3 linked regions of the Drosophila melanogaster genome follow. The protein of the gene in region 2 interacts with the protein of the main gene of each other region in a pairwise test. Each region holds a gene or a part of one and is shown on either strand. Other genes may lie near its edges. The genes, in order: CG10472, CG42359 and Obp58d.

Evidence for each region.
Region 1: the proteins of CG42359 (region 2) and CG10472 interact in a two-hybrid assay, tested with the Drosophila melanogaster proteins (one large-scale study listed by BioGRID).
Region 3: the proteins of CG42359 (region 2) and Obp58d interact in a two-hybrid assay, tested with the Drosophila melanogaster proteins (one large-scale study listed by BioGRID).

What each region holds. Positions count from the first base shown.
Region 1 is NT_037436.4:6,058,897-6,066,233, forward strand, and holds CG10472 (uncharacterized protein), read right to left. Parts: upstream 4,015-7,337; 5' UTR 3,998-4,014; coding exon 3,538-3,997; intron 3,477-3,537; coding exon 3,378-3,476; intron 2,836-3,377; coding exon 2,522-2,835; 3' UTR 2,483-2,521; downstream 1-2,482. Other genes in the region: CG6592 (uncharacterized protein), read left to right, coding at 1,050-1,558, 1,617-1,792, 1,851-2,482.
Region 2 is NT_033777.3:19,158,315-19,165,593, forward strand, and holds CG42359 (uncharacterized protein), read right to left. Parts: upstream 3,987-7,279; 5' UTR 3,925-3,986; coding exon of another isoform or gene 3,802-3,924; intron 3,726-3,801; coding exon of another isoform or gene 3,476-3,725; 5' UTR 3,437-3,475; coding exon 3,038-3,436; 3' UTR 2,945-3,037; downstream 1-2,944. Other genes in the region: CG11779 (uncharacterized protein), read right to left, coding at 1,296-1,391; nanos, read left to right, coding at 202-671, 745-1,008; Nsun5 (Nop2/Sun-like domain containing protein 5), read right to left, coding at 1,919-2,349, 2,413-2,910, 3,476-3,725, 3,802-3,924.
Region 3 is NT_033778.4:22,702,511-22,709,586, reverse strand, and holds Obp58d (Odorant-binding protein 58d), read right to left. Parts: upstream 2,654-7,076; 5' UTR 2,640-2,653; coding exon 2,511-2,639; intron 2,455-2,510; coding exon 2,326-2,454; intron 2,272-2,325; coding exon 1,873-2,271; 3' UTR 1,815-1,872; downstream 1-1,814. Other genes in the region: CG30275 (uncharacterized protein), read right to left, coding at 1-208, 262-389, 449-556, 611-904, 1,121-1,435, 1,495-1,763; Obp58c (Odorant-binding protein 58c), read left to right, coding at 2,927-2,968, 3,025-3,373, 3,434-3,642; Obp58b (Odorant-binding protein 58b), read right to left, coding at 4,019-4,230, 4,295-4,646, 4,830-4,877; Obp59a (Odorant-binding protein 59a), read right to left, coding at 6,181-6,426, 6,508-6,870; CG30259 (uncharacterized protein), read left to right, coding at 5,189-5,329, 5,400-5,652, 5,945-6,168.

The sequences.
Region 1 (7,337 bases), on a different chromosome or scaffold from region 2:
AGTGGCAAATTTATCCAAATTGATGCAACTGCATTTGTGCGCGGCCAGCTGAAATGCAGCCAAATAGATGAAATAATTAAGGCGGCGCGCAATTTCAGCGCTGCTGGCAAAAGAGTTTATAAAAATGCTTGCAACCTGCGCGCCGGCGCAGTGGCTAAATAGACGCGAAGAAAGCAGTACTGGCGACTGGAGGTTACGACGCGCGTTGCGATTTCAACTGGGGTTTTTAAAGCGGTTAAGTGTCCAGTAACCAGCGTAACGGCTTTGCGAAACGGGAAAACAAAAGTGACCAGTGGGTGAACGAGTGGCGGCAGGAGGCAAGCGGTGCGGAAGTGGGTTACAAGAGGAAGCAAAGGAAGTCAGGAAGTCCAGCTGACGAAAAAAAAGCAGTTTCAACGGTCAATGAAGCAGTGCATAGAACGGAACAAGCAGCACTTTTAGGAAGCAGGATAGCAAGCAGTTTAAGGCATTTTAGTTTTACCTCCTCAAATCCCTTGAGAAAACCTGTGCCAAGGTTAAAGCCTCCAAAAGCTTTATTAAAGGAATTAAAATAAAAAGAAATAAATATATGCATAAATATACTCATAGGGAAATAAGAAAACATAAAGCTGTTAAGACAAACTGACCAGACACGCAACAAATTGGGAAATATCTAAATTTCAATACCAAAAACGTTTTTCAAATTTGTAAGCAGAGTATTCAGGCCAGGATAACAGATTTTTATTATCTAATTGTTTATAATTTATAAATTTAGAATTCATTTAAGTAATTGAGAAATTTAAATAGCAAATAGTAAAGCTCATCATAATAGTCGCCAAAATTAGTACGAAAGCAAGGCTCAAAGAAGTTGTTTCCCGTAGTACTTAAGTATTCCTATAAACGCTGAAGGCCCCGGTTGTAAGCAGTTTTAGAATCCCCGCATTCAGCTGAACAGGAAACCATGCAAAGGAAATACAGTTAGCAGTGAAAGCAGTCGAATCAACACAAGTGCCAGCAATTGCACTCGCAATTAAAAATTAAATGCGTGCGCGAACAAAGCGACCAAGCCAATGTCCAAACAATCTGCAAGTGCAAGTGCCACGCTGCTGCTGCTCATTTGGCTGACATGGCAAACGATGCAGTGCATCGCGTTGGACTGGCAGCAGGTTAAGCCGATGTACCTGGTGTCCATGTACCCGGGCCCCGCGGGTCTCTCCACTTCCTCGTCCTCCCCATTTTCCTCCTCCGGTTCCCTGGAGCACGATGCGGAAATGAGTGCCAGCAACGTGGACAATCGGCACATAAAGGGGCTGGGAATGGGCAGGGAGATGAGCGCTTTGAGCGAAGAGGACGATCGGGAGCCACTGGTTCTCAACTTGGAGACCACGCCGCTAATGGAGAAGATGTTACCCGAGGGCGCAATGGCGATGGATCGCATCTTCGGCGGTGATGTGGGCAATCCCCACTGTTTTCCCTACCAGGTGGGAATGCTGCTTCAAAGACCTAAGGGTCTTTACTGGTGTGGTGGCTCACTGATCTCTGATAAGCATGTCATCACCGCCGCTCACTGTGTTGACATGTAAGTGACCAGAAGAAATACTAACGATCCAATCATCTTAAGGTTCTACATTTTGCAGGGCGAAGAGGGCCTTGGTTTTCTTGGGCGCCAATGAGATCAAGAACGCCAAGGAGAAGGGACAAGTTCGACTGATGGTGCCAAGCGAAAACTTCCAAATCTACCCTACCTGGAATCCAAAGAGATTAAAGGATGACATTGCTATAGTAAGACTCCCTCATGCCGTCAGCTTTAATGGTGAGTTCTGGTCCTTAACAAAGTGAACTACCTATCTCTGAAATATACATAATTTTAGAGCGCATCCATCCCATTCAATTGCCGAAGAGGCACTACGAGTACCGCAGTTTTAAAAACAAACTGGCCATCGCATCTGGTTGGGGTCGTTATGCCACCGGAGTCCATGCGATCAGCAATGTGCTGCGCTACGTCCAGCTGCAGATAATCGATGGACGGACTTGCAAATCCAACTTCCCGCTATCCTATCGAGGTACAAATATATGCACCAGTGGAAGGAATGCCCGTTCAACTTGCAATGGTGATTCGGGAGGACCTTTGGTTCTCCAAAGGAGGCACTCGAAGAAGAGAGTCCTGGTGGGAATTACATCCTTTGGCAGCATATACGGTTGTGATCGAGGCTATCCGGCGGCCTTCACCAAAGTTGCCTCATATTTGGATTGGATCAGCGATGAAACTGGTGTAAGTGCCCACCAGGATACCACGGAGGCAATATTTTTCGACCAGTATGTGAGGGAATATGGGAAACCACGTCAAAGCCGACGCTTGGAAACGGAGGAGCAGTTGGAAGACGATGTGCCCGACGAACTAGATGTGCATCCGAGACCCGCTTCCGATGAGGACATCTCCGAGAATGTCAGACCGCGAACACGGTCACGCCCGCATTCCGAACACGAGTTCTATTTCTTGTAACCCAAAAATAAACGTTTATTTTAAGATCAAAATCAACGCTTAGTCGCCGTTGTTGACCACACCACTCTTCTCTTCGATCCAGTCCAGGTAGTAGGTGATACGGGTGAAGACACCGGGCCATCCCACCTCGCAGCCGAGAGCAATGCCGAAGGAGGTGGCTCCAATCAGGGTGTTGCTGCCGTCATCCAGGACCAAAGGACCGCCGGAGTCGCCGTTGCAGGTGGAAATTCCGCCGGTGGTCTTGATGCAAATGTTGCTGGCGGCAACCAGACCGAAGTACCAGGGAGAGCAGCCGCTGTTGTTCATGATGGGAACCGTAGCGTACTGCAAAATGTCGGTCGCTCCGGTAGCAGCTGTGTGGAAAGTAAGGAAATATAGTTTAGAACAGTTCTAAGATATTTATAGGAACTACGATTAAAAACATTTTTGAAGATTAAAAACTCATTAAAAAATTAATAATAGAATACTAAACTAACAAAGGATTATAAATAAAGTGTAAAAACAATGTTGCGAAATAACAACAAAAGCAGAAAAGAGTCCATAAAAATCGAATTTTGATAATAAATTTTAAGTGGCCTTTTAATCCAAAGGTAAAATAAAGCGTGAAATTGGGTTTTTTCGATCGTAAATTGCATTAACGAAATACCAAAAATAGAATTTTCTGATAATTTTAGTCACTTTCTAGAATAATTTTGGTTTCTTTTACTTAGTATTTAGTATTTAATATTTAGTGTTAGGATAGATACATTCGCCTCTATTCTACGACCTAAACTAACTCTCTAACCTAACTCTCACTACATATTTTTCGAGTGCTAAACTTGCTGGTTACGTTAAAAGAGCTTAACTTTCTCTAGTAGTTATAAAATTGTAGTTCAAGGGTGTAAGGGTCACTTACAGTCGCTGATCTTGCCCCATCCGGAGGCAATGGCATTCTCTCCGCCGTAGGTGCTGTAGCTGTCGGATTTCACGGGCAGCTTAGCGGGCTGGATGTACTCTGTAATGTATATTAGATAATTGAGAATTTCTGCTATAAAAACCAGTAACGAAGCACTCACTGTTGAACTCAATGGGCACTGGCAACTTGATCAGGGAAATGTCGTTGGTGATGGTCTCGGCGATCCAATCCTCGTGCACGATCACATTCTTTGTCTCCACGAAGATGATCTGCTGTCCCTCCTCCTTGGCGTTGGTGCGATCGTGGGCGCCCAGGTAGACATCCACTCCGGTGGTCAGGCTGTCCGTGCAATGGGCGGCGGTGATGATCCAGCGGTCACTGATGATGGTGCCTCCGCACCAGGCAGCTCCTCCAGTGATGTACAGCAGTAGTCCCACCTGGTAGGGGAACTGGTTGGGCTCGGCAATCTGTCCTCCAGTAATCCTACCGCTGGGCAGGGTCTCGCCATGGACCTTGGGCATCGGGGTCTCGATGTTCAGGTTCTTGACCGAATTCCAGTCCACAGCCTGGGCCCCAAGAATGGTGGCCAAGAGCAGAACCGTAGCGCAGGCGAATTTCATTTTGATCACAACTAAAGTGTTGGCCAAGAACTCGGGCACTTTTATACGGATTTTAAAAGGAGCGTGGGTATCGTAATTCATTGATAATCTTTGGTGAATTAACCCGGCTGTAGTTAACCGAGGTGATTTATAATCGTCTATTTGCCACTACTGATAGAGCCGATGCTACCGATATTCCAAGTGATAAGCAGGGCAAGCAAACCAAGAAGTGTGAATCGATTTGGCCTATATTGGCAATAAAACCCAATCATGAGCAGATTAATCAGTTCGTAGTAGGCTTATCTATTGCAGTGATGACAAACCAAAGGTAATTAACCATTTAACGATGGTATATTAAAGGTTTTCTGAAACTAGTATTATGTTGACCTAAGACTTATAATAATAATTTCTTAAATAGAATATTTTACTAGAACAAAGCAAATCACCTTTGGAATGTTATATTCTTTTGATAATGTAATTGTATTATCTTTGCTAGAGCTTATCTGTAACACTTGTATTGGCGGCGATAGCAAAACCGCCGACATCGATTAGCAAAGGGGTTTTGTGATTTAATTGCATAACCCATAGTGCCCACATTCATAATTCTACCAGTTTAAACTGCGATGTGCCTATGATATGAGTAAACAGTCCGATCGTACGTGTGAACTTCCTGCCGACTCATTATGATGTCATAACAGCCGATGCACTTCCCTCAATTCAATTAAAAGGTTCGGTATTTTCAAAACAACTTCCAAACTTAATTAAAGCATGATACTTATGGAATCAAATGGAAATAAAATAAGTAAAAAAACAAAACAGCTGAAACAAAAGCGGAGAACTAAGCGAGACATGAATCAAAACGGAAATGGATTTAATGCAACAATTTTTGTTTGCTCAATTGAAGGTCGTCTTAAAGTTGAGCGGGCCCAAACAAAAGCCGTCAGTCACAATAATCTGGCCGAGACGAAGTCTAACTGGCCACAAGTTCACAGAGAAGAGCCACAGAGAACCCCCGTACCGTTTCCCATAGAAGGACAGATTTACCCATTTAATTAGCACAGCTTTCTAAAAATTATACAGCTCAAACGACACCTGTCAAGTGCCCAGGTAGGCAGGCACACATAAAACCGAATTACCCATATGACACTATCTCGTTATAAATCTAAAACATAGCCGTTCTATTAGCTTCGCAACAATCGTTGATAGATACATTTAGCAAATTGGCAATAATAAATGGCAAAAGTCCTTGAAGCAGGCCCACCACAGCAGAGCTAATTAAAACATTAAATGCGTAGCAAACTTTTAAACTGTAACAAAAAACACATAGCCAACTGAATCCAAATCAAACTGGGTGTGAAGCTCGTTTCAGAGGGTCGAACACTTAAATACACTAGGATGTTCATAAAGTCCAACCATCAGAGGAGAATAACTTTACGATGTATATCTAGTGTGAACAAACAAAACTATGATTAAATTTAAATCATCAAACTCTGAAACCGCTGAACTTCAACGGCTGTTGATCCAATTTCATTGATGATCCACATATCCCCACATGATAAAAATATCTTAATTCAAATGCATGGCAAATGTCTAATCTTATTTATGTTACATACACTTAGCAAGTGTATAATAATAATGTAATTTATAAGGCGGGATTAAACTGGTTTAAAGCAGCAGCGGTCAAGAGAACAATATTTTCGAGTGCAGTTGTAATGAGAAGCGAAATTATTTGATATGGGTGCGACTTCATAATTAATAAAAATGCATACATGCGCCGCCGCCCCCGGTGTGTAACATCTTAAATATCTTAAATTGAAAACACGAAATTTGTAAATAAATAAGATAAAAAGGCATAAACACATCCAAATATTAATTTAACAGTTAAGCTCTGAATGAAATATATGTATCCGTCTAATTGCATGCACGCACTCTTACACAGAAACACAACAATCATATGCAGAATTCAAATCGAACGCGTTCAAAATTAATTTGATGTGTAAATCTTTCAAAAGTGTGTCTCGAAAAGGAATAATGATGATTGCCAGTTTAGGAAGGAGGAACAAGTAGTCCTAATAAGACGAAGACGATAATAAATAAGATAAGTTACAATCGTAAATAAGAAAATACTTTTACTGGAAAATGTTATGAGTTTGAAGAATTTTTCGCACTTATGTGAAATTCGTTTGATTAAAATCACAAGGAGTTTTCTCGACATAGGAAGAATGTTTATCTAATCATTTAAAATATATATGTTAATTAATAAAAAAAACCAAAATGTCTTAGCGGAAAAGTAATTTACACTGTTAATTGTTTTTTTTTTTTTTCAAACCATTGTGAAATACGTATTAGAATTTAATTTTTTGATGCACTACGCTATTATTTAAGCTCTGCATTCATATTCTATTATATAGATGTTAATCAATACAAATATATATCGAACCCAAAAATTATAGAAATTTTCCAAAAACAAATATGAATTCGCAATGGAAAAGTACTATCCTAATATCAGCAAATGATGAAATTCGTATTACAAAGCTGTTAATTAAAAAACAAACTTTAAATATTATTTGAGTATAAACTAGATTGTTTCTACAAAGTAAAACGTCTTGTTAATACTTGTTTTTCAAGCTATTCACAAATAAATATCAAGTAAATATGTTAATAAGTAGGGTAAACTACTAAAAGACGTACAATAATAAAAATAACTTTAATGGAAATATAAATTATTGAATAATCACATGATAACAATAGCAATTGCAACAATGAACTGTTAAGCTTAAATAAATTGCCGTCATGTCTTTGAAGGCTAATCCCCCCCACCTTCCTCGATCGACGGACTCTAACTCGTTTTGTTAGATGGCTTTATCCATTGTGGAGTTTACTACCCTCGCTGCTCAATTTATGAATGGCCCGTGACGTATTTATAAATATAACAAATAACAAATACTTTTTGCTTAGTTCCTCAATCTCGCCGAGTGGCTTTGGCATGAATCACGTGCATTCTACCACTTGTGGGGGTTATTAATAAAAATCTGGACCCAGCTGGGCCCAAAAGATGTGCACGGGCACCTTCCGAACTTCTGGGAGTCATGGATCGTTCGGCAGGCTTAAAAATAAGCAGCCAAGAGCTCTTAACACAAAATGCCGCCATAAGATCAGGCATCCGATATGATCGTTTGGGGCTCGCCTGCGTTCTGTATCCCCAGCCGATTCACAGCCGATTCAGAATACCGATCCGATCCGATACGAAACGAACCGGTTTGCCAGCTGTGTGAACCAAACAAACAGCTGCTCAGCTGCTAAACTTTCGCTGCCGGCGGTTTCTTGTTCTTGGCAGCAAGTGCAGCGTCTCAAGCCCCAA
Region 2 (7,279 bases):
CCTTTTTGTTTTAACTTCGGAAAGCCATTTTGCGTCTTACATTTTCTAGAAGTTCTTTGCTTTTTCTCGTCTGTTCTTGTTTTTTTTTTGTATGCAAAAACTAATCCGTATTTGCTTATTACATTTCTGAAATGCAATTGAAACGCGAATAATAAAAAAAATACGTTCAGGACAAGGTAATGAAAAGCTTGCTATTCCCAGAAAATGCGGCTGGCTCGATGCAGGATGTGATGCAGGAGTTCGCGACCAATGGCTATGCCAGCGATGATCTCGGTCGCATGTCCTACGGGAGTGCTCCGCCACAGGTGCAAATGCCACCGCAGCAGCAGCATCAGCAACAGCAGGGGCTGCACCTGCCACTGGGCCGCAATCCTGCCCAGCTGCAGACCAATGGCGGCAACTTAATGCCCATTCCACTCGCCACCCACTGGCTGAACAACTACCGGGAGCATCTGAACAACGTGTGGCGAAACATGTCGTATATACCAGCCGCTCCCAATACAATGGGTTTGCAGGCCCAAACAGCGGCCACTGTGTCCACCAATCTCGGCGTGGGAATGGGTCTGGGATTGCCCGTGCAGGGCGAACAGCTGCGCGGAGCTTCCAATTCCAGTAACAATAATAACAACAACAACAAGGTGTACAAGCGTTACAACAGCAAGGCCAAAGAGGTGAGTGGATCTGATCCAGGATTCGCAGAATTAAAACTTGCAAAATATATTTGTTATCTTGTTTCTCCAACAGATCAGCCGCCACTGCGTCTTTTGTGAGAATAACAACGAACCAGAGGCGGTTATCAATAGCCACTCAGTGCGAGATAACTTTAACCGAGTGCTGTGCCCCAAACTACGCACCTACGTGTGCCCCATCTGCGGGGCATCTGGGGACTCGGCGCACACGATTAAGTACTGCCCCAAGAAGCCGATCATCACCATGGAGGATGCGATCAAGGCGGAATCGTTCCGCCTAGCCAAGAGCAGTTACTACAAGCAACAGATGAAGGTTTAGAGAGGGCGAATCCAGCTCTGGAGCAGAGGCTCTGGCAGCTTTTGCAGCGTTTATATAACATGAAATATATATACGCATTCCGATCAAAGCTGGGTTAACCAGATAGATAGATAGTAACGTTTAAATAGCGCCTGGCGCGTTCGATTTTAAAGAGATTTAGAGCGTTATCCCGTGCCTATAGATCTTATAGTATAGACAACGAACGATCACTCAAATCCAAGTCAATAATTCAAGAATTTATGTCTGTTTCTGTGAAAGGGAAACTAATTTTGTTAAAGAAGACTTACAATATCGTAATACTTGTTCAATCGTCGTGGCCGATAGAAATATCTTACAATCCGAAAGTTGATGAATGGAATTGGTCTGCAACTGGTCGCCTTCATTTCGTAAAATGTTCGCTTGCGGCCGAAAAATTTCGATATATCTACAATTGATCTACAATCTTTACTAAATTTTGAAAAAGGAACACTTTGAATTTCGAACTGTCAATCGTATCATTAGAATTTAATCTAAATTTAAATCTTGCTAAAGGAAATAGCAAGGAACACTTTCGTCGTCGGCTACGCATTCATTGTAAAATTTTAAATTTTGACATTCCGCACTTTTTGATAGATAAGCGAAGAGTATTTTTATTACATGTATCGCAAGTATTCATTTCAACACACATATCTATATATATATATATATATATATATATATATATATATATATATGTTATATATTTATTCAATTTTGTTTACCATTGATCAATTTTTCACACATGAAACAACCGCCAGCATTATATAATTTTTTTATTTTTTTAAAAAATGTGTACACATATTCTGAAAATGAAAAATTCAATGGCTCGAGTGCCAAATAAAGAAATGGTTACAATTTAAGGAAACAAATGTCCTTCTTGCGTTTGAAACAACTAATCCTTTTCGCCCTCGCGGCGTTTCTCGAAAAGGGCCAGGAAGATGCCATCGGTAAGATCACTGTCCGGCTGGCAATACAGGACGTTCTTGCCAATATTGGGATAGTCCTTGTCGCCCACATTGTGCCACTTGTTGCGCAAGGCCTTCTTGCAGCTGAGCAGCTTGAAGGATGGATTTAGCTGAAGACAACGCTGCACCACCTGCTCGTTTTCCTCCTTCCACAGCGAACACGTGCAGTAGGCAATGCGTTTGACGTTCGGAAAGGCGCCCATCGCGTGCGACAGGATCTTAATTTGCAAACCCTGCAGCTTTTGCAGCCGCTTGTCCTCCTTCGGCTCGTCGCACACGGTCATGCGGTTTTGCATTCCGCTGCCAGAGCAACTAGGGTCCACCAGGATGTACTCTACGTCCGGAAAGCGTTCGGGTGCTGAAATTCAAACGTGTTACTTTTTTAAATATTCATTGTGAAATATATAAATATAAAACTCACTTAGGTTCAAGGCGTCTCCCAAAATGGGTTTTACAATATCGCAACCAGCATCCTTTGTTATTTCGCACAGCGTATTGTAGCGTACGTGGTCCTGCTCCACGGAGTAGATGCATCCCTTGTTCTGCATCACATTGCATATGTGCACTGTCTTCATACCGGGAGCTGCGCACATATCCAGCACAGTGGCCCCAGACGGCGGAGCAAGTAGTTCGGCGGCCAAACAGGTGGCCTTGTTCTGCAGTATAAACCTCTTGCTGTGCACCAACGGATGGCGGACCCAGTAGTTGGACCACTTGGCAGGAAAAATGAGCACACCCTCAACGTGCAGATCGGTCATGAACTCGTTCTCCGCCAGCGATTTGATGGCAGTCAGAAAATCCGCATAGCTGGCGTCCGCAGGCAGCTCCTTGCGCCGCCAGTCGCTTTTATGCAGGTAGTCCAAGGCCTCCGCCAAGCTGTATAGATTTGTGTTGATGCGCACATATCGAGGATTGGGTTCTGTGTGGGCAAACAAAAAGACGAGTTCAAAATTGTAGCCAAAGTAAGATTTATTAAGAGTTGTTAAGAGTCGTTACTGGTCCTTTAAACGATCGAAATAATCTGGACTTGGCTGGCAGCACTTAAGTTACTGTTCTTTCTTTGGCTCCGCAGCTTCCGGCTCGTCGTCCTCATCCTGCTGCACGGGTTCCAAGGGTGGTGGGGGCTTCTCGCGGAAAGCCTTTAATACATACATGGCCACCACGAGGTTAACAACCACAACAGCCGTGAGAACTGACCAACAGTTGACCGTGAAAAGGTCCAAATGGGGGAAGGACTCCTGCAGCCAGCTGCGGACGCCATAGAAGCCCAAGAAGGGCAGCGTGAACATGAGCACACTGTAGGCCAACAGCCAGAGGAAGACCTCCGCACTGGTGTCCTCCTGCTGCGTATGATGCTCCACGGGAGAATCAATGACAGCCGGGGAATCATCAGTGGTAGCTGGCACCACATCGACATGCTGTTGTTTCCTGTTCTTCTTGCCCATCTCAGCCGGCTAATACTGGTAATCGGTGTGATAACCTGCCTTTTCGCTGGACACCGAAATCTCTGATGGAATTTAGCAGTCGATCCTTGTAACTTCGCACCGTTTGCACGGGTTTGCTTTCGCCGTTCAGCTCCTTCCTGCCAAACAGCAGTTCGGTGACTAGAATCTTGGCCAAACTGGGATCAAAACTGGGATTGTCCCTGAGCAGTCCTGTCTCTTCGATGGCCTTTTCCAGTGCCACACGATTTTCGCTAAATTTTTTCAGAACCGTATGCAAAGAGCGTGTACGCTACAAGTGAAGTGCGAGAGGGAAAAGTTATACGCATATTGGTTTGATCTGCGGACGAGAGGTCCAATCCACTTACGGCATGCTTCTCTGCAAATATTAGGGTCTTGATGCACTTCTGCTGCTCCAGTGCCGCCTTCAAAATCTTGGCAGTCGCCCTGTATTGGGTGGGAACTTTTATGGAATGCGGTTTTTTACTCATTGTCGTCACGTGCACGTGTATGTGTTGTTTGCGCTAGAATAGGTGCAACCCCAATCACGACTTTATCGATATATGCTTATCGAATGTCAGGGCTGGAGATAAGCATGTGGCGTTTGAAACAAATCATATTGTTATTCATGTTTTGAAAATATCTACAATTAATGTAAAGGTTGTTCTAATTTTGCCAACGATAACTACAAAACATATATGTTCTATCCAATATATTTACATACAGGGTATCAAATTTACAAATAAATTGGCAGTGTGGCCATACGTTGCGAGCAAAAATTACTGTACTTCAAGCATTGCCAACACAAGAATATTTTCATGGTTAAAAATTTTGGCGCGATAAAGCCGCAGTTTAAAATGTCAAAGTGTGCGCGTTCTTGGAGGTTTACCAAAATTTAGAATCATGCTTTTATTTATCGTGCATAAGTTGGTAAATTGGAATTAAATCAAGTTTTTTCCAATTTGTTTCTGGTGTGTCGTTTGTTTTGGGGTCTGTACGGCTGCTTTAATTAAAAAATATTAAAATGAAGCACGCTATTCTTTAAGGACTTTAAGGAAACGTACCTTTCTATGTTTGCCCAGGAGTTGATAGACGATATCAAGGCTGAGGATCGCATCCTACAATGTCCTTGGTGCGAAGAACAGACGTTGAGTCCATCAGCCAGCACCCGGAAACTTTTGTATTGGCTTTTAACGCTTTCAATTCGACTTTCAGAAAAGAGTCTCCTCGAAAATCACGACTGATATCCATGTAAATGAATCGGTAGATACTTGCACTTTCTTTTTAGTTATTAAAACTGACACACTGTCACTTTGCAGGTTTTAACCGCTGGCGGAAATGAAGAAGGAATCCGGGAATATTCATTTCAGTCCATTGTGGTGCACAGCGGAACTCCCCTCAGGAACAATCTTAGCCCACTAAACATCAATAAACTACTAAAATAACTTTGACTGCTGCTTAATTTCAAATATACATAAATTAATATTTTTTATTTTTAAGTTAAATTTTTTAATTCTTTTGGAGGCTCAAATTTTATATTTGGCGCAGCACTTTAATGTAGAAAATGTGAATAAAGAAATATTTCAAGGGTAAACAACAAAAAATGTTTTGATTTTGTAAAAAAAAAAACCTTAAAAATTATGAGGAGTTATAAAATAATTATCAGTTTCCGGAACTTTAAAATTCTTATCTTCAATTTGATCTTCAAGACATATTTTTCTTATAATAATATTATCAATAATATTATATAATATGTAACGGATATTTAAGTTCTTCATTTTCTTTTTCAGAAGTATTAACAAATGCATATATATAAATACATATATATTTATACAATAGAATCGCATAGGCATGAATTCAGCGCGCAAAATAATATAATTACAATAACATTGATATTATATAATAGATTATAATAATATACATATGTAAGTGTAAGTTATAAAATGGTAACAAAGTTCAACAGCTCATAGGCGAAGATCCAGTGGCACGGAATTTTCAATACAGCCAGGAGAACATCCTAATATTTTGGATAAACTCTTTGTGCCACTGTTCCGGGTGATGTGCATCATGTCCAGCACGGAGGACCTTATGTACCACTATTGCTGTTTCCTAGATTAGGATTCGCTAAAAGCTTAAATTGTAATTTCAGATTCCCAAAAATAGAAAATACCGCCAAAAGTCAGGGCAATGGCACTGCAGAAAGGATGCAGGATATTATATGTTCTTTTTGTTTTTCTCTCCCCAGAATTTGGCCCAATTAAATTTGGTATTCGAAAAAAAGAGCACGCCTCCTCCCCGAAACCGAAAAAAAACTCTGTGGCGCCGGGAACAAAAAAGAGCGCGAGAGAGTGAGAGCGCACACATAAAAAACATAAACAAGCCTTTTTCACTAGTGTGCGTTTGTGCGGAGAGAGAAGAGAGCGAAAAACAACTTCTGAAAAAAGACGCTCTTCGCTGTGATTTTTTTTCAGTCAGTTTTTCGACGGTCGTGAACACGAACAGTTATTCTAGCTCCTCCTGTTCTGCTGCTTCTGTTGGTGTTTTTTTGCGTTTGCCGCGACGTAAACAACCGAAGAGCGGAGCTTACGCCCCCAACTGCTCCAGCTCCACGCCCCCCTCGCAACGTGTTCGTTGTAAATGCAATTAATCGTTGTTGGTCGCTGAAAAAACTAATATTTCGGGAGTCCGATACAAGAAGGGCAAAAAAGCACAAGTGCAGAAAAAGCAAAAAAAAACATAAGCTTGCCGTGTGTGTGCGTTGGTGTGTGTGTGTATTTTTGGCGTGCGCGGCCATTTTTTCTTGTTGCCACTCGAGAGTCTCTTCTGTGTGCGAAAGAGAGGCCCGACGGCAAAGCAGAACGTAGCAAACTACGCAAATCCCCACTAAATTCGCTAATTTTCGCTAAATAAATCAATCGCAAGGGGTGCCCAAAAACAAACAAAAGTACGAAAATAGAGTGCCGCAGACCACAAACAAATCACCTGCGCCAGTGTGTGTGAGTGTGTCAGTGTGCGAAACAGGCAAGCTCCCAGGCGGGCTCCCACCCACAATCAGTCGGCGAACACGTGCTCCAAAATATCAACAAAAGTTGGCCCACAAACATAAAAAAGGGGGCCGCGACTGCATCCGAGACCCGAACGCCGGAACACAAAAGGCACTTTCAAATTGGTAAGTACTTTGCGCTGCACGAGCATGTTTTATTTATTTGCCTTATTGGTCAAACACACTTGCGATTGCGGTGTTTGTTTCTCTTTCCCGCGCTCACGCACAGTGGTCGCTTTTGTTATAATTGTGAGACTTGAAAACGATCGCCGTAAAATTCACATTTTTAACAAAATATTTACTGTTCGAAAGAGGGGTTTTTTGCGAATCGATGATTAGTTGACGTGTTATTATGAGAAAAACATAAAAGATTATAGGACATTATTTTTTTAAAAATGTTGCAAAAATGATTTAAAGTTTGCGATTTCCTTGTTAAATAACATGAAAGCGTTTACAGTTATTACTATTACAAAATTATAACGATTTAATATGCATATCCTTTATATATTAATTGCTACTTGAAAATTACCTAATGTAAAAACTTATATAAAGCAAATGAATTACAATTTATTTATTGGTTAGGACTCTATATCCTATTTTATAAAAAAAAAATAATAGCACAATTTCCAAAGTGTTTGTCCAGTGTTCCATTGGTCAAATACTTATTGTTTCCTTATTTCCGAATCTTCGCTATTTGGGGAATAAGTCAAAACCTTTAAACTCCAAACATTTGTAAGCCGAATGCGACTGTCAACAAATAATTAAACCAGAATAATTTCAAAAGCGTTTTGCAGTCGTGCCGC
Region 3 (7,076 bases), on a different chromosome or scaffold from region 2:
TCCCTGTCCGGATAGGCGCTGAAAATGGCCACCATTGCGTTGAAGAGGCGTGGCAGTGGGAAATCCTGTCGTGCCACAATGCACCTGAGAAGGAAAACGTTTGATGCCGCCGCCATGGCCGCCGGACCTGCGGGCTCCGTTCCGGCCGGATATATAAAATTAATCACGCTTTGTTCGTGCCGCAGATAGTAATCGGTGCTGTGGAGTTCTAGATAAACCCATGTTATGAACGGAGCATCCGGCATTCGCAGTACAACTCACTCTCAAGAATGTACTTGAACTTGGAGTACAGACATTCGCGCATGTAGAACTTATTTTCATTCGCCACATTTGTATCCACAATTGTGCCGCCAATGGAGCTGACCTTCATCTTACCCAGGCTGGCCACGCTGTTGAGAAATATAAATCATTGTGGATATTTGCCTTACAAATTAATAAATAATCACACCTCATACCGCTGTCAACCTTTTGCAGTCCTCCCAGAATCGTCACCGCATTCAGATCGTCGAGGGCATCTGCGGTGAACATGCTAGCCTCCGCTCTTCGCTGTACCGATCTGCAGGACAGTCGGTAAGGAATTACTCTTTCCGCACGTAAAGCCATCACTTACGACACCGTCATCGTCTCGTAGTGGAAGGACCTTCCATCCGCTGGCTTCACCAGATTGCCAAATTGTTCCATCTCGTAGTTGCGCACATAGAACATAATGTCTATATCCGAGGACAGCCACAGAAAGATGGCCATTTCTGACTCCTGCGACTGATTGATTGTTTCGGCCACAACAAGCATACTCTTCGGATTCTGTCCCATTACCTCCTCGGCAATGTAGTAGTCGCCCAGCTCCTCTCGCATTTCTGGGTTCTCGACCTCTTGCATTGCTATAATATCGTCGTTATCTTCGGCCCTTCATGGGAAATATTTAAAACAAAACAAGAATGTTATTGAAACAGTTTCTTCAAATGCCTAACAATATCTAACAATATCTTAGTAGGCGATATCGATTTCAGACAAACTGATTAGTAGTCTGCTGCTTTTTAAGAGGCATTTGAATTTAAAATTTCAAATGCTATTTCTGATATAGTATACAATTTGAACAAGGAGCACAAAGAACAGAGCTTACAGTGCCTTCCGGTAAGTAATCCTCGGCAGAATTACGAACCTATCCACAATGTACAGGGACTGTGTGTTGTTATTCTTATCCATGCTATATTCCAGCGGGTAAAAGACCTGGGATATTTTTTCCAAATCATCGAAGGTTTCCACAAAGTGGATGGGTTGTGGCACATACGGACACCTAACAGTGATCAGAAACCACACCCTGCTCTCCCTGTAGAGCACATCCTTTATGATCTCAACCAGAACCGGGGACTGATCGCTCTTGTAGACGCAAAAGTTGAAAAACAACGCATTCAGCCAGCTAATGGACATGGATAGGCTAAAGGATATATCGGAAATAGATGATATATTCAACGTTTTAAGTCCTTGTATCAGTACCAGTATCTGGTGGACAACCATTCCAACCAGCAATCCGTGGGCAAAGCGGCAATGGAGGGATAGTTACGGAACTCGGCATAGGCCACCAATGCGGAGGATTCAGTGCAAAAAGCCAATATCCTGTAGGTCTGATAGGAATTGAACAGGGAGTCCTTGCCACGAAATTTCGGACGGATATTGCCGAACCACTTGACACCTGGCGATCGAATCAGCTTGTTGAGCCCATCCTGGTCTCCCGCTTGAGCCAAGCGAATCTGAAACTGATTCATCAGTGCGAATAATTTATGTGTGTGGTGTGTGATTAAAACTAAAAAACATACTGCGTTTATAAGCTTAATTTTATTACATGACATTTTTGAGTTTTTTTAATACGTATTCTTAGGCAGGACTCTTTGTGGGCAGTGTAATTCCATCTATTTGGTAGCATTCGGCTTTGGCATTTTCGCACATATCCTTAGTTCCTGCCTTGGCAGTGCCCTCCCACCGGAAGTAGGGACACTCGTGCTTCTGATGATAGTCACTGATGCACATGAATACCATCAATAGATAGGGGCGACAGGCTCCTTTCAGGAGCACCTTAGCCCCAGGACTGGCCTTTAAAAGGTTGTAGACCCCAACAGCATCCTTGCGACAGAACTCGAACATGGCAATGTGATAATCCTTCTCCTTGGGCCGATCCACAAATGTCTTTTCTGCATCCAGCTTGACCATCTTCATGTTGATGGTGTCGCTCTTACCAATGTACTTCTTTTGCTTGTACAGGCACTCCACAAAGCACTGAAGATACAAATATTTTCGTTATAATAGATATATAAAGCTTTAATTACCTACCGATAGAAACCTCAGTGTCTTGCCGATGTCAGCGTCCCCATCCACTGGCAACTTGGGTGAGTGTATAACGAAGCACTTGACCAGGTCCTCCTCTTCTCCTATATAAAGTTCAGAACAGCAGCCAGCCCTCTAAATTGAATTTTTAGACTTAATACGTTTGCTGTTCGGTTTTAAAGTAAGCTCACCGATGTGTTACACTTATCCTCAGTCAAGTCACCTGAAGATATGGCAACTGCAGTAGTTTCCTCATTATCCTGAGCCTTTGAAACGGCCACCAGAATTAGGAACGTCCAATAACAAACAATGTTGACCATTGCTTTTCGAATGTGATTAATTTACCATGGTCATAACATTTATAAAACCATGCGTGCTCATCATTTTGGATAAATGAATTTAAACCCAAATTGGATTGCTTAATTAAATGTAACAAATGTCCATTGTAATGACTGGAATTAAATGAGCGGATAAAGAAACATTTGCAGACAGTCTGATGGCTCGACATTTGGCAAATTGGCAGCGGTTTCCTGTTTTTATTTAAACGATATGTGGGTGACTATATAAGCTGTCGTAGTGGGCTGATTTTGGTATAAACGGCGGAGCAATGAAGTGCACCATTTTATTGAGTTTTTTCAGCCTGATTTGGGTGAGTTCGAGGAATGAAATTCACACTGTTTATATATATTCAAATACATGACTTAGTTTGCTGGTGGAATTAAAATTGATTGCGAGAATACGGAGGCCATTAACGAGGACCACATCCACTATTGCTGCAAGCATCCCGATGGACACAATGATCTAATCGAAGGATGTGCCAGGGAGACCAATTTTACGCTGCCCAATCAAAACGAGGAGGCACTGGTGGACATCACGGCGGACCGAGCCATCCGAGGCACTTGTTTTGGCAAATGCGTCTTTAGCAAACTGAACCTGATGAAGGACAACAACCTGGACATGGATGCCGTGAGAAGTTTGTTCACTGAAAGGTTTCCCGACGATCCGGAATATGCCAAGGAAATGATCAACGCCTTTGATCATTGTCACGGCAAAAGTACAGAGTTGTTATTTCAGCAAGAACTTCTTGGCTAACTGATATTTTTTTCACCAAAAGGCGAAGAGAATACCTCCATGTTCCTGTCGAAGCCCCTCTTCAAGCAAATGTCCAAGCAATTCTGCGATCCGAAGTCTAGTGTCGTCCTGGCCTGTGTCATCCGCCAGTTCTTCCACAACTGCCCGGCGGATCGCTGGTCGAAGACCAAGGAGTGCGAGGATACCCTGGCCTTCAGCAAGAAGTGCCAGGACTCGCTGGCTACTTTGTGAATAATGAGAATATCATTCTTCTGCAATAAAGAACATTAAATTTACGATTTACGACATTCGAATTATTTTGTTTAGATGAAAAAATGTTATGCATTCAGAATTATTCTGTATATTTGGATGTTTTTTTTTTTATAGGGATGTAATGGTAAACAAATACGATCAACTTGACATTAGTTAATATCGTATTTTTGCAAGTGATTTGATAACAATAAATCCATTTAATTAAATGTATTGCTGAGTTGGCATTCAATCACCCACCATTACTTATAAACCAAAAGAGCACATGAATTGAGAGCCATTGTTTTGCTTTAATCATTGGAAAATCATTTCGTTTTCCCAATTAAAATGTATTTCCTGAGGCAGGACTCTAAAGTGCTTACATAGTAGTCAGCACATCCTTGCACTTCCTAGCAAAGGCCAAGGTTTCCACGCACTCGGTGGTATTTGACCAGCGACTCGCTGGACAATTGTGGAAGAAGTTGTAGATGACGCAGGACATGATGATACTCGAGGTCGGCTTACAGAACTTGGCGGTGGAGAAGGCCCTAACAATTGGAAGTGATAGGAACTTTTCGGTGGCCTCTTCAGCTAAAATTTGGAATGGAAAAATTCAATTTTAAACTATGTTGATGGTTATTTTGCATGAGCTCACATTGTGTGTGACATTTTTCGTAGGCATTCAGCATTTCAGTCGCGTACTCCGGATCTGTTTGATGGTACCGCTTGTAGTACGAGCGCACCTTGTCCATATCCAGTGTGTTGTTCTCCATCAGATTGTAGTGATCGAAGACGCACTTGGCCCAGCAGGTTCCAACCATCGCCTGGTCCACGGTCACATCCACGATGGCCTCCTCATTGGGACTGGGCAAACGAAAGTTGGTCTGCTTGGCGCAAGATTCCGTGACATCGTCGTGGCCATCCTGATGTTTGCAGCAATGGTGGATGTTCTCCTCGTGAATACGCTCCATGTGCCGGCAATGAACTCGGACAGCCACGAGTCCATTCTGCATAGAAATATGCACATATTAAAGGATTAAAAAGTAGCTCGAATACGGATCCCCGATGGACCTTGAACTTTCAAAATTATTATGTACAATAAATCCGATCTAGTGTGGATAATCCATTAAAAACACCCTCGAACATTATCCAATCCAGAACAAATTGAAAACGGTGTTATGAGTACGTACCAAGCGCAGTGATATAATCACACAAATCACGAAACCAATTCTCAGCATGATGACAGCTTTCCAGCGGTTCGTCCTCAGTTTTATATGTCAAATGGTTCCCCTTTGATGGACAGCCCTAATGGCGTTTTCCACTGTTTCGCATTAATTTAATTCGCATCCATTATTATGGCAACAAACCTGGCGACGAAAAGCGAAATTATATGGAGTGGGTGGGCTAGTGAATCTTGTCATGGCAACGCCGGCAGTCAATTTATTATTTATTTTCCAAGGCGGCTCTTTGCTCGCCTAATTAGTCAGAGATTGGCCTTTGAAATTTGATAAGCTGATTTTTGGTAGCCGTAAAAAAAAAAAACTAAATCATGGGCAAAAAGGGTAAAGGAAAAGGCAACAAATTGGCCAACATGTCCGAGGAGGAGCGGGCCAGGTATTTGCAAATGAGGGCCGACATGGAGGAAGAGACGAGGCGGCGGAAAATGCAGCTCATTTCCATGTACATGAAGGTAACACACCACGAATTTGCAGTAAATCAAAATCAAAATCCCTATGGTATGACTTTTCCCATTAAAATAGAACAAACTGAAAAGAGAGGATGCTTTTGGTCGACTCAATATGGCTAAAATCAACCAGGAGTGGCGGAGCATTTTGCGCCAGGTGAAAATCCAGGAGCTGCGCCGCGAAATCGTCGATGTGGAGTCTTTCTTTCAGGAGGCACTTAAGCGCAAGGACCAGGTGATCCATCGCCTCATTGCTCACATAGAATCCACCGAGGATATGTACGCCAATCTGCAGCAGTCACACATGGAGAATATCACCAGGATAGTTGGTACGATTGGGATAACATCCTTAAAAATAACATTTTAATCAGAAACTAAATACACAGCTACAGCAATATGTTTAAAGATACTTAAAATGAATGGAATGGATTTCACATGTATATTAATGCTTTCGTTAATAAGAACATTGAAATATTTGGAAATCCAAAAATTACTGGAGTATTTTGATGTACATTTTATGAACAATAAGAAGCATTGTAAAATGAAAATTAAAATGGACACAAACCATTCAACGCAACTAGGCCTCATTTCTAACCCATTTATTTCTTATCCTTTACCCAGATACCCATAGAGATCGCATCGAGTTCTTTCGGACGATCTACGAGGACGACAAGCAGGCGGTGCTGAGCCAGTGGGAGCAGGACTCCGCCGCGTTCAAGGAGATGCATGCCCAGAAGCAGCAGCAACTGGAGTGCGTCTTCTATCAGCTGGAGGAGAACACCGATGGCGGGATCCGGGACAACCACGAGCGTTTCTTGGACCGCTGCGAGGACCTAAAAAGTGGGGTGAGTTTAATCCTAATTGAAGAGCATGTTGCCGTGCTCCTCCCAATCCTCGCACTGCGCCTTCGCGTACTCCGACATGCACTTGACCAGTTCCCGGGCCGCTGAACACTTGTGGTGCCGGCCCCTTCCGTTGCTCTCCAGATAGCGGAAGCACTGCTGCACGGTGTCCGTGAAGAAGTTGCGCAGCTCCCGGTCCCGAAGGTCCTTGGTCAGCAAATAGCTCACCTTGCGCCGATCGGGCATCCCATTGCCATCCACCTGTGGGTGAGAATTGAAAGGAATAAGCTCCTGCTTCTCTGAAGGATTTCGACTTTGAAAGGAATCTCTTGGATCACCTACCATATTCATCTCCTCGAAAAAGCACTGGGCCACACACTGACCTCCATCGTTGCTGGTGTGGTTCCTGCCATCCGATTGCCTTAGTCCTCGCTGCCTTCGATTGCCATAGCCGCCCCTGTTGCCTGGATTCCTGTCCTGCTCCTCCTGATCGTGATCCATTCCGTAACCGTACTCATAGCCATTTCCTTGCCGGCCCTGTCCACCTCGTCCTCGATCTTCGTCCTCGTCCTGGCGATGCATACAGTTGCGCACAGTTCGCTTGAGCTCCGCTTCACTTAGTCCCTCCTGGGATCTGCATTTCAGTGCGTAAATGGAGCAGGTGCCGCAGCTCAAACAAATCAGCAGGAAAATCAACTGTTTCATCTTGGGAACTGAATGGAGGAGCAGCTATGCCCACATCATTTATAGTTCTGGAGAATGGCATCCAAATTACAGAGTGACTGACGCACAATGAACCAAGACACATATCAATCTTAATTTTACAATTGCGTGCAATGCTCTTCGATGATTATATTTTACAATAAAGGTTATTTTAAAAGTTTATGAAAACATGTTAAATTGAACCCCAC